2 linked regions of the Neodiprion lecontei genome follow. Each later gene encodes a partner of the first gene's protein in a complex. Links are inferred from orthologs where the notes say so. Each region holds a gene or a part of one and is shown in the gene's direction. Other genes may lie near its edges. The genes, in order: rab5 GDP/GTP exchange factor and ras-related protein Rab-21.

Region 1 (8,422 bases):
ACATTTAGTACCTGAGCCGGTTTTCCGAACTTTGCTGAAGACTAGTTTTCATGTCAAGAGTTTCCTTCTCGAGCCTTTCAATAGCCAGTTCTATTTGTCTGTCACGCTCTCGATTGCACTCATCTCTCAGCCGTGTTTCCATTTTTTCTAATTTCATATTGTGCTGTCTCCTGCAGTTTTCCATCCATGTCTCTTGTTCGACCCTAAGTGATTCTTGAACAGCTTTTTTCTCGATCTGATGCTGTCGTATTAAAGTATTGATTTTTTCCTGTAAACGATTGGGTTCCCGTTATTATTCTCATGCATCGTTGCTTGGTATAAGTCATTATTAGTTTCAGTATGACCTGAACGTACATTGAATTGTGAACGTGCTTGACTTATCGCAGCATCTCTCTCAGCATTGAGTCGTTTATGTTCTTGAGCTAGCAGATTTTTTTCACGTTCAAGATCGTCCAGCAGTTTGCGCCGCTGTTCTTGAAATAAATTCTCTTGCTGTTCTAGTTTCTCCTGATACCTGTGAATGTTATCAGACGGAATCTTTTATTGGTATCTAAGTAAGCTGCGTGATGTCTGAACATACATTGTACCTTGTTCTGAGAATATCTTTTTCGCTACTCAATAACTTTTCATGGCTCGCAGTTAGCTCAAGACGCAACTGCTCCAGCTGTTGATTTGAGCGGCGAATTGTCCGCAGCTCGGTATCCTGAAGCTCTTTGATGTGAGCACTGCGTATTTCTTGAAGCTCCTGCTGATGCTGCTCTACCATACTTCGCAGTTCTGGCTCTAGCCCCTTCACAGTCATTTCCTGAACAAGTAAAATGGAACAATTTGACTAGAGATTCGATACTAACATTTTTTTACCAACACATGTTTATATATTGATTGTGAGATAAAAGTTAGTTGTTCCACAAGCGTACATCTGATTAGCACCTTTATTTTAGAAGTTTTTGCTTCTAGCCAACGTTCGCGTCTGATCTTTTCAGAAGCGGCACAAAGTTCTCTAGCTCGTCGGAGTTCCACCGCGTGTCTATCAGCCACAACTTTTAACTCCCGATGATATTTCACTTCCATTTCTTTGATATGCTCAGTCAAGGAGTTGCATTTCTCAGTCAAATTTTTCTTATCTGATATTATTTGCTCGATAAATTTCTGATGCCTCTTTATCGTCGTCTGATATTTTGTCTTCTGAGTCTGCAGCTCAGTGCAATGCTGCTTTTTTTGCAATTCTAGCTTCTCGCAAGCAGAATGCCTTTGTGATTTTAATTCATTTTTTAAAATTTTTAAAGTCTCATCCCGTTCTTCCAATTGCAACCTAAGAGTCGCTAAATCGTCCTTTATCGTTTCAGGTATATGGGTTTGTGCGGGATGAATTCTGCAAGAAACATAAAACATTACCAACGGGATTCACACAAATCACACCTCGGTGCGAAAATCTTTGCACTCGCAAATAGCACTGCCTCCATATGAAATACTATACAATGCATATGCTAAAAACACAAATTCATACAAATTTTTGATGACCAATCTTACCCTTGATTGTTACAGTATGGAATAGATCGACTATTCAGTGTTGCTTCAATAATCTTTGAATGCGCGTAAGCTCGATTGTTTGGAACATCTTCTAGGTATCCTAGAAAGAAATGTAAAAATTCAACAGCTAAAGAGTTGCAGTATTCCCGTCATACCTTATACCATCACTGTCAGAGTCGCATATTTTACCTTCGTGGTTCAAAATCCCTAACAGGGACATGATGTCCTCGTAAGTTGACAGAGAAGACCCGCATGATTGATTGGAGTAATCTTTCTCCGGTTGAAGCTAATTGGGGAAGAAATTGTGATCAAAAGGTGTAAAAGCTAGCAGCAGTGTTTAAGCGCTCTAAATTCTGGAAATACAAGATATTTTCTCGAGCAATCGATACTTGCCTGATTGATGGAATAGTCTTGATCGTTTCCATAAAAGTGGCCCCCTTCGTTATTGACAAAACTTCCAGTAGTATTTGAATCGATATTCAGTTGTGCTTCATTTCCAGATAAATTTTTTTCCAAATCATTGATCATCGAGCAAAGCTGATCGAAGGAGCAAGAATTTGGCTCGATGACATTCTGATTAAAATCACTAGTAGTTTGCAGCTTTTTTAAGTCGTATCCAATGTTTTCAATCATAGCATTAATCTGATTGGGATGGGTCTCTGCTTCTTTCAGGTATTCGCCTTTTTTGGAATCCAGTCCTCCGTTAGTTTCGCAGAATCTTGACGGGTTTGAATTCCGTACGCGGTCTTCTGCGGAATTGCACCTCTGCATGGGCAAGCCATGTGCCATTCCGTTATCGGACATGGCAAAGTTACTAATCGGGGGCTTAGTGACAACCCTTGGATGCTGTATGTTGATCATTTCTTGCCATTTGCATTGTAATTAATTAAGGATTCCTTATACACTGACCACAACGTTCATTGAAACGTCAAGCCTTCGCTCGAAATTTCGTATGACGCGGTTGCTATGGAAACGCGAATGTCGCTCTTATTGCAGATGGCGTTTCAAGTATTGACTTCTTGTTGGTATAGTTCAGTGCTTAGAATTGACATAGAACTTCAACTGCATTTTACACAGAGAGGGTGGTCAACTTTGTACACCATTCATGAATATTGACTCACTTCACATGAGTTTCACAAGGAAGCAGAAGAAGAATCAAAGATGAGTTGCGAGATGACCAGCGCCTCCAAAAGACGTTTGACAAAATTAAACCAAACTACGGCCTTGCTCGGAGCAATGTAAATAAATTAATAGCACGACATTATCTGCAGCGTGCCGAAATCGATATTCTGTTACCGACCGCGACGCACGCTTCAGATAATGTCGCGCTACTACTCTATTCACACTGCGCCACGCAGAGACGTAGTTCAGTTTAATTTCGTAAACCAGGTTTTTGGGGGCGTTGGTCATTTCTCAACTTATCTTTGCCGTAGTTAGACTCTTCTGACGTGCTTGTGACGGACAGTCGATTTTTGACAGCTCACGTGAAGAGGTTATGTTCTCCTCGTAGGTAGGGGTTCAATTGTTTGCATTTCGCTTATTACGCAAATGCGTTAAGTAACCAAATTTGAAAACTTACTGCACCCAGTTGGAGTTTTACTCTCCAATTATCGACATGTACTCGATCAAGACGCCGACTCTCCGCATTGACGAGGCCGATTTAAAGTGCAAAAATGGTTGTGGATATTTTGGAAACGAAGAATGGCAAGGCTACTGTAGCAAATGTCACAGAGAACATTTGCAAAAGCAACGGGCTCAAAGAGAACACGCCCGCATTCACGAAAGGTATTTATTATACCAGTGCAACAATTCACTGACACATTGTAACATGCTATCAATCAAATGAATCATTCCAGGTATAACTACCGACACTACTTTCTATTGATAAGCCCTTTATTGATTAGGTCAATATTACTGGTAACGAATAATTGTTCGAACTGCGTTATATATTTACATTTTTTCAGTGATTCAAGCTCTAAGACTACCGTGCACGGTTTTTACAAATTTGAAGAAAAGAAGCGACAGCAAGAAAAGAAAACTAAACTATTAAAGCTGTCAGTCTTTCGCAAGACCGCAACGAAAAGTATGTCCTTATTTTAATGTCTCACATTTTATTTTCATTCTATGATACATCATTCTTAATTACGTTTCATCGATCTTTCAACTAAAGCAGAAACCTAATTATATAATAACAACCATAATAATATACTTCTAGACAACTGGTAAAGTTTTGGTGTTTCCATTCTTTCCTGTCATTCATTTTGATAAGATGTGAAACGTCATGATGGAAATATTCCTTATTTAAGCTCAAGGTTTTAGCGAGATATGGCAGGAGCTGGTTAAGGATAATCCTGAACTTGACAAAGTGAAATCGGAGACCCGTGACCTTCTGGTACAGATCGCTAAGACTCCGGCTGAGAAAGATGTACGAAAGTGTATTCATTCCTTCGTAAACAACATCTTACAAATGAAGGATATTAAGAGCGTTGAGGAGCTATCCGAACTAACTCAGAACTTCTATCAAGTATTTGCCAAGCGAATGGAAAACAGTCCCAATTATGCAGGTAATATTGCACTCTTGGTTATTCATGCGTAGGATATTCACAGAACTGCAGTAATCTCTATTATTATTAATTTTTAGATGTTTCTCCAGAAACAAAAGATCGACTACTAGACTACATCGAAAGATACACTATGACCTTACTCTATAGGATACTTTTCTGCCCGCCATCAACTACAGATGAGGACAAGGACCTTGCTATTCAAAACAGGTAACATCTCAGTTTTCCAATTCAGAGAATGGATGGAAACAGATAAGGTGAAAAATATGCTCAGTCAGTAACATCTTTCTAAACCAATCAAATCTGGTCAAGATTAATTTGATTTATGAATCAAGCTCGAGAATTTTTCTAATCAATCAGGAAATTTTAGAATACGGCAGTTGAATTGGGTGAGCGGAAAGAATCTGGAGTGTCGAATCCACGAAACTAGTTCTGACGTGAGAGAGCTTGTTTACACCTCAATAACAGGTAAAACAATCAAACTTCAAAGCTCAATCGGTCTGATTAATTTCACATAAATGTAACATAGTAACAATTGTTTCAGATTTATTAAATATGGACTCTGTAAAAGCACCGCAAGAGAAGCTTGCCTGTGTTGTTCATTGTTGTAGAAATATATTTGTACTACTGCAACAATCTGTTGGGGGTCCAGCTTCAGCCGATGAATTTTTACCGGCGCTTATATTCATTGTGCTGAAAGCTAATCCTGCAAGATTGAAAAGCAACATAAATTTCATCACCCGATTCTGTAATGCTAGCAGATTAATGACTGGTGAAGGAGGTTACTACTTCACAAATTTGGTATTAGTTCTACTCTGGGCTACGAAGAACCGCACAACTCAAAGCAATGAATATAAAATTTGCTGAAATCCATGCCTTCAAGAAATTTTATTCCCAATTTTGTTCCAGTGTTGCGCAGTATCCTTCATAGAAAATCTTACTGCCGAGTCATTAAACATGCCTCAGAAAGATTTCGATGCATATATGTCAGGAGCACGCGTTCCAGCGAGCACATGGGAATCTGCTCTCACTATGTGCGAGGTAATGATGAATACATCGTTGAAGAATAATTCCAACACTCTCATAGCTTACAGATTTTTATAATTTAGAGTATACACCTGATGTGCGAACACATAACACTGCTGGATGAATTGAAAGCGAAAAATTTGGAAATCATAGCAGAATCCGATGAGCTTAAGAAAAAAATGCAACAATTCCCAGAAAAAGTTGAGGCGGAAGTTGACGCTGCGATAACTCGCACTCCCCTTATTATCACGCCGAGTCAAAGGATACCGACTAATCTTGACTGCGTTGATGCAGAGAGCTACCAGCTACCACCACCAATTATACCACAAGTACAAAATATTGATGTAAAATCATTTGTTCCAAATTTAATATCAACTTATATCTGTAATATGAAATGCTGAAAATTTCTGTGAACTTACTTTCTATTTGCGAATACTTTTTAATCCTCACAACATTACTTTATCGCAGTATTCATCCACAGATTTACCCTCAAACCCTGAACGACGAAACAAATGAAACACTGACATCTCACGTTGGTGATTACAACGGACCTTCGATCGAGGATTGCATAACACCATCTCCAACTTTTGATTTCCCAGCCTTTGACTCAGATGGTGGTTTGCATGGAAGTAAAGGGGATGACGATACCAGCCTAATTAGCTTGGATACACAATGCGATCTTACAGCAGAAGAATCGTATCTACAAGACAGAGACGCCTCTGATAGTTTGCTAGACGAATCGCAAGCATCGGGCACTAATTTACCATCGCCTCTAAAACCAGTTTGTTCTCTACGTGAAGATTACCATGGATTCTCAATCCAAGGTTCTAACATTCCCACGATCCCGTGCAACACTGGTGATCTTTCTCACAACACTTCGGACTTGGAGGCAGATAACTATTCTGGCTACTTTCACAACATTTGAACGATTTGCAATTTAAACATACACTTGATTAATTTCAACCATAACATATATATCTAGATATGCACATTCATACATACCATACATATAGATATATATACACATACATATAGGTATATATACACATACATATAGGTATGTATACAGTAGTATGCAGGAATTAAGATGTAACTTGCATCTTATCTAGTCAGCTTCGAAGGATTGGATCGTGTCTTGTATCGATGGCGAGGTAACGTCTGAGATTATCGCTTTGTTATTCAAGATCCAATGAAATCAGCAATATTTCTAATATAACTTACAAATCAGATGCTGGATTAAAAACTATAGGTTTCAAGCTAGGATATTTGCACTGCTATGCTTACAATTATCTTATAGATTCTGCTACAGTGAAAAGTGAAAAAATGACAAGTAGGTGCTACGTTACCAAGACACTGCATCAAAAGTGATCAGTATACATTCTGGAGTAGATCATCATGTAAGTAGGCTATAATCTGAATTTAGATATAAATATTTACCATTTTGTAGCTACAGTTGTCATCATTTTCTCCAATTTGTGAGTTGACCACATTTTTATATACATCACAATTTCAGTGCATGTCAAAAAAACTGATATTCCAAACTTATATGAATATATAATTGCTAATGCCGTACTTTAATAAATTCAATTATAATCAACTAGGTGGTAGTCATTTGTAAACATTAATTATTTTCATATCGGTTTAACGATCAACCTTTGTCACTCACACTCAATTTGATTTCAGAGATACTGCACTAGACTAAGTGAGCGAATTGTGTCAGTCATCATTTTTCTTTTAATCCGATAGGTCCATCCTGACTAACAATAATATATATTTAAATGAATTTGTCTTGATATGAGGTAAAAAATATATTTTCATTAGAATTATAACGAAAACTAATATTGGTTATTGTAATTGGCACTTTTAATCGAAACTTATATTCACTATACATGGGTATACAAAGAGTGTATGAAAATAATTTTAAGGCCTGTACAAATAAATTCACGTATCGTATGAAATTTATTTATAGTGGTGTAAACCAAAAATGAAGTATAAAGTCAATACATGTGGTTGGAATACAGAATTTCGGCAGAATTTATTGTTAGTATGATATATAGCAACATTGAATTAGTGAATTGTGCAAATCGTGTTTTTTTTTTTTGTACATCACATTGACTAACTGATATCAATTACATATTTGGTCTCAAAGTCTGATTAGAATTCAAATTTTTTAATCTCTTACGGGCAGCTAGTTACCGGATTATAAACGTGACAAAAGTTAAATATATATAAACTATTTGTTAAACTATGATTGTACAGAAACCTAAAGAAGTGTGTTTGGAATGTGAAAAATATGTGCTACCTCACGCAAAGATTTTCTTAATTATTGAAAGCCAATGATACAAATAAGTTTGTACTTGGAGAAATTCTGTTATAGAACCATTTTATTACCTAATATCAGTTAAAGTTCTGTTTTCGGTATAAGTTTCACATTTTTTCACAAAGCCCGTTAAAGTGTGTCAAATATTTTTAATGCAGTTTGAGTTTATTTTTTAATTGGTGAACTTACAATATTTACAATTATCAAACATAATATCATCGTTGATACATAAGAAATAAGTCTTTATGCCAGAGAGTGTAGACAGTGTTAGTGTTAGTGTTAGTGTGTTATAATTTTTATATATTCATATTTATTCTCATCTCAACTACCAACTGATTGCCGGTAAGTAAAACTGAATCTTATATAAAAGTTACAAAAGTATTGCAATCAGTGAAAAAGTATACTATATTATTGCAGAGTAATGAATGAAAATTCCATATCTATAATATCCTCAAAGTGTAATAAAGACACAATAAAGTGTTACAGAGTTATAAAACGAGCGAAGAATTTCAGTATTCTGCAATAACATATTTGAATATCTAGAGTTCATACTAAAAAAAATACCTACAAGATCTATGTAATCGCATTATCACTAAAATCTACCCTGTTTCATTAGGTTATCAATCTATCTAATTATAAATAGTATTACAAGATATTGATTCATTTTTAACAGTAGTCGGTGAATAGAAAAATAATTACATAACGTAACGAATAAAGTACAATAAGCCTTGTTTTACACTTTCGTAGAAAGTTACTACTTTTACATTAAAAATCTATAGTATTTTCTATACCTTCGTCGAGTATAGAATATGCCCATTCGCGTCTATCTACTTTCTATATCTACACAAGTTTACTGGGCAAAACGAACTGGGGATGCCAAATGAAATATAAATGAGACGAAGGTCTTATCGTACATATAAATACTCCTGTCTCATTTATATTTGATCCAAACACTGCTGGAATTATGTGCAACAAGCATTTCCTA
Region 2 (9,096 bases), about 4.9 Mb from region 1:
ACCATTACCTGATACTTGAAACTTTCATTCTCATTTTTACTGTCGCTGTTAATTCCGCAAAGTGTTACGTACGAATAAAAATAAAAAAAATATATCGAAACACTTTTACTCGACGTATGTATTGTAACGTACTTGACGGGGTTTGGCTCGTCTAATTAACGAAACGATACAGGCGTTGCAATCAGTTGAAAAACCGTTTCTCTCATTACGTTTTCGCGGATGTAATTTTTTTTACCCAGAGTTTACTGACATTTCAGTGAATCAGGAAGGAACCAAATCAGTTCCTTGGTATCAACGCAACGACGTGTGTTACATTTACGACATACGTAACAATCGTGACGCTGACTGTGGTTTGGGATAAAACGATGATAAAACAAATGCAAGAAAGTGAGAAGGGGAAAAACCCTCGTGACTGCCTCCGATTGATATTACACGGTGAAATTTGAGATGTCAGGGTGAAGTACGCGACTGCATGTAATTCCCTAACAAGAAAGTGGAGCAGTGGAACGAGCATGACAGATGGAGAGACGCAACGACGTGCGCGAGAAGGAGGCAGGCATGGCGCGTGGCACCGCACGGCGGTCGCCATAACCAAACCGCCTCGCATCGGTCCTGAGATGTACCGACAAGGAGAGAGACATGCGTGCGATAGTCGTTTGTTTGCGGATTACATACACGTCGACGCGCGCCAATTGTCAACATAACATGGTCAGAAATTGAGGCAACGGAACTTCAGTTGGGGATAAACAAACCCTGCCGCTGTCAAACTGGAATTCACTGACGTGCAAGCGTCAACGAATATCGTGTGCACGTCGGCTGAGACCCCGCCATACGAACGCCATGACAGATGAGACAGTACGCAAACAAACAAGTCCACTTGCGAAATAGAACGGCGTCCCATTTTAGGAAGGACTAAATCGAACGCTGATAAAACTCGATTGTCCAAGTAGAATAAAGGAGAAAAAGAAACAAACGAAAGTTATCTCACGATAATGACAGATATCGGCGGCATCTCGTCAGATGTCAAACGCGTGGTAGAAAAATGCGAAATATTTCACAAAATCTCATAGCGTACACTTTCGGTGAAAGTTTCGATACGTATATTAATTATTAACAACGATCGAATGGCACGGACCGGCAACCGACCGGGCAACCGGGAGAAATGCTTTTCTCAACGTTACGATCTTACCCACGCGAAAAATATTTGCTGTTAGAAAATGCTTGCTCTATGTCATGATACAGCAGGCTGGCAGTTCTACAGCGGCCGGAGACGCTGACGTTTAGTCACATATTTCTTGATAATAGAGGGATAAACGAATGTGACAATAGTTCCAAATATAAATAGCTAATTGCGCTGGCTAAATATGATAATCTCGCATTAAATCCGCCGAGATTATCTAATAAAACGCTAAAATTAGTATGACTGATTTGCTTACCTTTTCAATACAGGTGACGGCCGGATTCAAGAATTCTTCAGCGCAATCTTAACGCGCAGGCTTTGGTTCACGCTGTCAGTCAAACTGGCAGCTTTTAGATGACAAACTTTGGAAACTACTTCATGCCGGAATTCTGTGATATTTTTATTTACCGCATATCAATAGAATATTTTATAAGACAATACACACCGCGCTTCACCAAGATTTTAATTTACAAAATGTCAAGTAATCTATCTGGCTGTCAGAATTAAGCTTCCGGTTATCGCTGATTCGCTTCCTGTGCGCCATTTGAGTTTTGTTGCTAGACGAGAGTTTTCGATGTCACCGCCAGAGTGCGTGATGATTTTTGTATTATCGGCATTGAGCTGTGTTGTCAGTCGTGATGTCGAATTTTAACGTTCGAATCTTTGGCTTTATCCTACAGCACAAATATTTACTAATATTACGGCAACTTGCGGGCAAAATTTGTTAATTTTTCTTTCTCCAATATCACCATTTCATCCACAGAGAAATAATGCATAGATACGGTACAAATCTCGTCGACATACGAGATGATTTAAAATTTGGGGTTACCGCAAATGCGCACGTTCATTCGAAACAGGTTTTCCCCGTCATTGCAGTATATTTTGAGCTGGTATTTTTATCCAGCGTAGAGTAAATAGTTGATACTTTTGCTCAATGCTACTCAATTGGGATTATATTCTCGCACGACGAAATAATTAATTATGTAAACACTACGAACCACCAAATGGAGAACGTCATATTTCGACAGTTTATAACAATTTCCACCGGTTGATTCAGGTTAAATGAGGACAAGTCCGTTTCTTTGAAAAATAAGAAAGCTCATACATTTAAATCTTTGAGAATAGAGTGAACATTAGCAACAATTAAGAGGATTACAAAGACTCATTGATATACTCCTTGTTAATTCGATTTGGCAGCTCGGAGAGCTAAGACGCCAAAGGCAATGACATTTGAATGCATCAAGATTACTTTCGTCTCTTAAATGTTTCCCGAAGAATGATCGCAAGGCATTAAATGCATTGTAAAGCAAAGATTGTTCCGAGTTTCTAGTCGATTCAAAACGATCGAGATATTGCAAATTGTTCTAAGCGTATAACGAACTGATCTCGTTAGAAACCATTTGTTGACGTCGGATTGACGTATCGTATGCGGCATACAGTGTTTATTTTTTCCTAGAGGTCGTAGACCACCTGCCATCTACTGTAGATGATTCTAACCTTCGTATCAAGAAGATAACGCACGACGATCGCGCATGCGTTTAAATCTGTTGGTGAGGAAAATTTCTTGTAATGATACAGGTGAGAACAGCTGATCTCTCGCACTTGACGTTCCGTGGACAACCGCGAGAGAGATAGTAGTTGTAAAAAAAAAAAGTAAAATTACGTACATACATACGATATACATCGATTACTTCTACTGTCAGAGAGCTAGGTTTATAGAATATAATGACAAATACTAGTTTGTACGTTAATGATAAACGCGTAAAATAGTATTTTCATAAAAGCTTATTCTCATTTCTTTTCTCAATTATAATATTATTTTACTTTTGTAAACAATGGCCAGTTCCTCACCGACTGCGAATAATTCAATCAATGGTTACAATTTTAAAGTTGTTTTGCTCGGCGAAGGTTGTGTAGGAAAAACATCTGTCGCTCTACGATATGTCGAGGACAAATTCAACGACAAACATATCACCACTCTCCAGGTATTTGAATCGTCATTTTTTTCTCTTATCCTATTTGGAACGATACGTGCATACATAAATCATTCAACTTGTAACCTATTTACTTATTCGCAGGCTTCGTTTCTTAATAAGAAACTCAACATTAATGGAAAAAGAGTGAATTTGGCTATCTGGGATACGGCAGGACAAGAAAAGTTTCATGCCTTAGGACCCATCTACTATCGTATGTCAAACGGCGCAATTCTGGTATACGATATTACCGACGAGGACTCGTTTCAAAAGGTTCGAAGAGTGAATGAACACCAGCTTGTAACATATATTATTTTATTTTATTTTATTCACAATTAATTAAAAATAAATCAGTAAACTGCGTATTGAGTCAGAAGTTTGGATCAATAATCATCAAGATGCGATGTTATAATTGGATACGTAAATTTGCAATAAGCTTTGCTCCGAAACTTGTTCAATTGAGGATACGATTTAGATACCGCGATATTATGGCTGACAATACTTATTTTCTCAACTTTATGTGAAAAATATGGAGTTGTTTGATTTGAACAACTTGAATACTTTGAAAATAACTGGATTAAATTTTACTTGTTTCTTGTGCAAGCTGTTTCGCATCGGCATCGATAAAAGTCAAGTAAAGTTTCTTCGACTTTACACCAAAGAAATAAACGATGTTTATGTTGCTTTAACTCCATCATCCATTCTTACAAATTTGTGATTTACCACTTTTCATTTATTATCAATTTCTCAATTGCAAAACTACTCTCATTAGTTAAGTTGCCTTTCATTTTTATCAATCTCCTATATCAGTTCTACACTTCGTTATATTACTTTATTTTTCGTTCAAAAGTGTAGAATCATTATTTGATTCCTCATTTTTATATTTATATATTTATAGGTAAAAAACTGGGTGAAGGAGTTGAAAAAGATGCTTGGCAGTGAAATTTGCCTTGTCATAGCTGGTAACAAATTAGATCTTGAGAGGGATCGGAATGTAACACAGGAAGAAGCAGAAGAGTGAGTTTTGTTCTAGTAAAGTATATGTCAGTTCACATTATAAACTTCATAAAAGTATTTGGACATCACTTTCAGAAGACCTAAAAACTGTACAAAATCAACAAAGAAAGAAAACGAGTATGAAAATATCTGTCGACGAACCTGAATCTTTTCTCTGATAAGATAATCTTGTTTTTTATTTTTTCAATCATCAATCTGCTTTGTTTAACCCAGCATACAAAGTTATAATTAGACTAGACTGAAATAAGAAGAAAAAACAAACAATTACATGCGAAATAAATGCACAAGCACAGATATTCATTATTACATTTCATTCTTATCAAGGAAGCAAGCTACCAATCTACTATTTTATGTTTAACAGAATCAATTTATACGAATTATTTCTTCAGATATGCCAGACAAGTTGGTGCGGTCCACTTTCACACATCAGCAAAACAGAATCAAAACATTGAAGAAATGTTTCTAGATTTAACCCGCCGCATGATGGTACATGCAGATATGGTTGAGCAAAAATCTACTCTTACACGGTCAAATAGCACGCGACGGAATGTCGTGGTTGTCGAAGACGAAGCTGAGCAAGAGAGACCAGCTTCAAGCTCCTGCTGTGGAGGATTTTCGCAAAGTTCATCATAGGTCGATGACGTGGCTTAAGTTTTTAGGGGGTTTGAGTTATACATAATTGTATATAGCAGTTGTTTTACAATTATAAAACACGAAAATTTGCAAATTTCAATGCGATCAAGTATACTGTAGTCGTTTTGAACACATACAGCCTGTGGATCAAGTACGAATTAGGTGGATATACTTACAGGTATATGAAAACGTAATTGTATTCAATCAGATCAGTGTCTCATTTACCAGTCGATCATAAAAATTTAACAATAATTGAAATTGAAAATAAATAAACTTCTTATTTATCTGTATTTCTTTGATAGTTTGAAATTTTTACCTGGAACAAGCCATTTAGAAATGTCAACAGTAAAATCAATAGCTTACCTGCCTACCGAAGACGAGAATACAGGAGATATTTTACACTATATGTTAAGCGATATACCGTATCATATGCACGTGGTTTACCAAGAGTAGAACAGAGTGAACATTCAGCAATATTTTAGCTGTATCACTTCCACGTGTACTTGCATATATTCAAATATTTAATCATTAATATTTTAGCTGATGCTGTAACAACTTTACATTACTCGCAGTGTTAAAATGTGAAAGAAAGTTATATATCATGCTTATTTCAGTTTTAATCCCATGTAAATTAGTTAGCTTCACATGGATTATTATAGGAATAACTTGTTACTAACGACTTTGAAACTTTTTTGCTATGGGAATTTTCAAAAACCTCGTGAAAGTTTTTAATAAAAGTGTTTTGTACGCAAGATAAATTTGTGTGAATCTACCATTGAAATTCCAAAACATTTTAGACAGCATAATGTTCCTATTGAATGCAAGCTCATATATATATCTAATAGATATAAGTATAATTAATGTATAACGTTTGAACGAAGAAAAAAATCAAATTTCAAATTACTGACGTATTTAGATTGTAGAAAAAGATTTATAAGGACGCCTATTTCGCGTTACTGTTCCAGACTGTGTAAATTCATAATTGTCTTTGACATGATGTTACATACCACTGTATCGAATTACCGAACTCGTACTAGGGACTTATAAATGATGTTATTATATAAATTACACTTGTTGTTTTGCGTTGCCATATACTGTATTTGTAAATATATTGCTGTCTATTGGCATATATTTACATGAATAAATTTAATATAATTTACGACCTTACTGTTTTTTCACTAGTATAAGTCTTCGAGACAGTGTCAAATAGTGATGACGATATTTTCTTAGTTTAGGCGAGATTCTGTATAAATTAAAGAAATGAGAATTCGATTGGTATAATTTGATTTTAGTACTATATTGTTTTTATTCAGATCCGTATGATGTTCGAAAGATAAAGATACAATGTGCTATTCTATCACAGGTACATGGATCGTGCATACATTTAGTTATCCTAACATTTACAGCTCTTGGTCAGAACTATAATGCAATGTAACATATAATGATATTTCGCTGAATAATGTGTTGACGTGTAAATTATGTATTATCCGGAATGACGAGTCAACCTATGATTGATGTATTTTTTTTTCATGTTCGCAAGTGGCAATTGTGCAATTACGTAATGCACATCATATAGGAATGTCTGTGGCAAGTTATTTATATTTTCATAAATTGTGTGCATGTCTCATATTGTTAGATGTGCGACAGAACAAATTCGTTTCAGACAGTTACAAGTTATTTAAAAAAAAAAAATTTTTTTTGTTCTTTTCTAAACACATTTGTTGACACTCTCTTTGAATATATTTGCAATTTCTTTCAAAACAAATTAATCGCGTATGCATAAGATTTTTTTAAACTTACAATTCAGTTTCTAACCAATGGTTATTTAAATTCTTGTCTGTTTAACGCTGTTGAAATACAGTTTTTGCGTCGCCAATTACAATTTTTATACTCAATTCGTTCAAGATTTCTGTATTTTGTTATATAGGTATATCTATTATCGATTGCTGAAAATTAATACTTGAGAAGTTCAAATTATGACATAAACTACGAAATATGATAAATGAAAATTACTATATCTCAGTATCTCACTTATTCGTCGTTCTTATGCCAGCATAAAACAATATTGAATAATTTGCTAATTCGATTATCATAATATTTTTGTCACTGTTCGTTATTATATGTATTTATATTTTATTCTTATACGCTTTTTTCAATACTTTATTTAAAAATCAGTACTATATTTATATGTATATATATCTATTCTATGAATTTATACACCATGAGATTATTTACAATTTATAAATTACAGTACGGAATGTGTCGAAGATTGTCTAACATTGTGTGACAAAATTCTTTGAGAATAATAAATTACTATTCTATGTAATATAATTGAAGAGAGACTTGGCTTTGGTTACCATTTACTGGAATATTGGTAAAACTGTAATGGGTATTACGCAAGAAATTCAATAAACCTAAGCAAACGCACATCTCAAATTTTTTAATTCGAATATAAATGATTATCTTTTACAATACTATACTGGTTGAAAAACTTTGTTACCAAGAAATATTCAATCTTCGATAATCATTCCGTAAAAAATATAATAATTACTAATTTTACCCATTTAATTAGACTATTTTGTGAGTATACCTACAGTTTACACTGATTACATTATATGACGTTCTCACCTATCTTTGGTATACAGTGGTAATTTTTTTCCTTTTTTTTTGTATAAATATTATTCACATGTTAAAAACTGCCATACAACACTGATCAGCTTGCTCACATTCATTCTACGCAACACTCATGACGATCGCAGCATATTTGGCTAGAAAAAAAGTTGTGCATTCATTATTGTGAAATACTTTACGAAGAAAACCTGTGTATGTTCTACGATTTTTGCTTTTCAGCAAGTATATAAATTAGTAAAAAATATCAACTATGCTTTACACGACAAAGACAAAAAGGAAAATATTTTATAGAACATTACACAAGAACGTGTGTTCAAACGTGAGGCTTTTTTGTAGATATTAAAAATTGGATTTGCGTGTACTTGCTACTGTGATTTATATAAAAATACTATATGCTCATTATTGAATTGTACTCATATGTAGGATCCATCTTGTGAATATGAAAATGCTTCGAGCTATATTCGATAAATAAGAGAAATATTATTCAAAATTAAATAACTGACCTGCAGTGTCCCTTCCAAGTCTGTAAATTAAAATTTTTAAAATCGAGGCAAATATAAAAGTTTTACCGATGCAATGATTTATGCAAAAATGAAAGCCGTGGAGCAAGTGTCTAATGTGCTCAAATTAGATTTTTTTTTTTTTTAATTAATTGACACATGTACTTTCATATTCCCCACAAATCCAATTTGAACAATCTGATTAGTGTTTCAGTCTGTTATTTGAAACGAGTACCAATTTTGTTAACGTTTTATAGGCCTTTAATGAATCAACACTTTTAGTAATCTAACCCAGTCTTAAATGATGAATATTTTATCTTGGTACATGAACAAAAAGTCGGTAAACTGATTGATCGGACCAATTGCTGAAAGTGACATTCCTCGAGAAGATGGAGCTCTTACTAAATTAGGACCGAATACTACTGCCAGATTATTCGATGTCATCTTGTTAAGATCACTTCTGTCCATTACCTACGAGTGTTAAAAAATATGAGTATTTGTTCCATGGCCACGACGTTCCATGAATTACAGTGAGAGAAACAATGAGAATTAAACTCACCCTGGATAAAAATTGAACGATATATTTCAAAAGACGATAGTTAGCTTCAGGTAGTTTTTCAAGAATCAATATCTTAACTTTCCGAGGTCGTTCGTCTTTTGATAAACCTTTGGAATGATGAAAAAAGATGAATGGTAAATAGGATCTAAATAGATGTTAATGTAGAACATCATCGGTTCAGAGTTGTTTTTACTTACTTTGAAACTGGGTTATTTCATCGTAAAGTTCGTAGGTCATAAGTGGTTCGTCCAGTTCTCGAAGGAATGTTTTTAGAAGTACAGCCGCTATGTGAGGATCACCTCGAAAATCTACAGGCAATCCCAAGTTACAACGGTTTTGAAGTTCTTTGATCACGGTTACATTGGCTGATCTTCTGAACAGGCCTTCAGTTTCCAATGCTGTCGAAGTAAAACAATGATGTTTATTATTGTTTGCGCACTGATTTGCAAGAAACATTGAATGATGTGCCTCACCGTCTGGAGTATCCAAAAATTCTATACACTGCGTTACTATAGGTGGTATCATTTCGTCGCCATTATTTTCTCTAATAAATTGTAGACTTGCGCCGAATTGCGTTGTTGCTACCGGAGTAACGACAGTTGT

What was found.
Region 2: the proteins of rab5 GDP/GTP exchange factor (region 1) and ras-related protein Rab-21 are in contact, whole or in part, in a crystal structure (PDB 2OT3), measured with the Homo sapiens proteins. The link is inferred for Neodiprion lecontei from reciprocal best matches to the Homo sapiens genes RABGEF1 and RAB21. Residues at the interface, in NP_001273991.1 of Homo sapiens: Leu253, Cys254, Lys296, Phe299, Asn300, Lys303, Pro309, Ala310, Ser311, Ala312, Asp313, Phe315, Leu316, Pro317, Ile320, Leu347, Met348, Thr349, Gly350, Glu351, Gly353, Tyr354, Tyr355, Thr357, Asn358, Cys360, Cys361, Ala364, Phe365, Ser373; in NP_055814.1 of Homo sapiens: Ser19, Phe20, Lys21, Gly26, Glu27, Gly28, Lys32, Thr33, Leu37, Thr50, Thr51, Leu52, Gln53, Ala54, Ser55, Phe56, Ala71, Trp73, Asp74, Thr75, Ala76, Gly77, Gln78, Arg80, Phe81, Leu84, Ile87, Tyr88, Asp91.

What each region holds. Positions count from the first base shown.
Region 1 is NC_060261.1:2,397,119-2,405,540, forward strand, and holds rab5 GDP/GTP exchange factor, read left to right. Parts: upstream 1-2,925; 5' UTR 2,926-3,040; exon of another isoform or gene 3,041-3,118; 5' UTR 3,119-3,145; coding exon 3,146-3,315; intron 3,316-3,494; coding exon 3,495-3,613; intron 3,614-3,836; coding exon 3,837-4,094; intron 4,095-4,171; coding exon 4,172-4,301; intron 4,302-4,461; coding exon 4,462-4,559; intron 4,560-4,635; coding exon 4,636-4,892; intron 4,893-5,000; coding exon 5,001-5,132; intron 5,133-5,200; coding exon 5,201-5,461; intron 5,462-5,598; coding exon 5,599-6,042; 3' UTR 6,043-7,140; downstream 7,141-8,422. Other genes in the region: centrosomal protein of 131 kDa, read right to left, coding at 12-268, 355-514, 588-805, 931-1,372, 1,531-1,630, 1,720-1,816, 1,924-2,391. UniProt on the Homo sapiens protein: Rab effector protein acting as linker between gamma-adaptin, RAB4A or RAB5A. Involved in endocytic membrane fusion and membrane trafficking of recycling endosomes. Stimulates nucleotide exchange on RAB5A. Can act as a ubiquitin ligase.
Region 2 is NC_060261.1:7,272,657-7,281,752, forward strand, and holds ras-related protein Rab-21, read left to right. Parts: upstream 1-2,746; 5' UTR 2,747-3,015; coding exon 3,016-3,165; intron 3,166-3,258; coding exon 3,259-3,426; intron 3,427-4,051; coding exon 4,052-4,170; intron 4,171-4,559; coding exon 4,560-4,803; 3' UTR 4,804-7,566; downstream 7,567-9,096. Other genes in the region: rho GTPase-activating protein 1, read right to left, coding at 8,232-8,405, 8,494-8,600, 8,691-8,891, 8,967-9,096. UniProt on the Homo sapiens protein: The small GTPases Rab are key regulators of intracellular membrane trafficking, from the formation of transport vesicles to their fusion with membranes.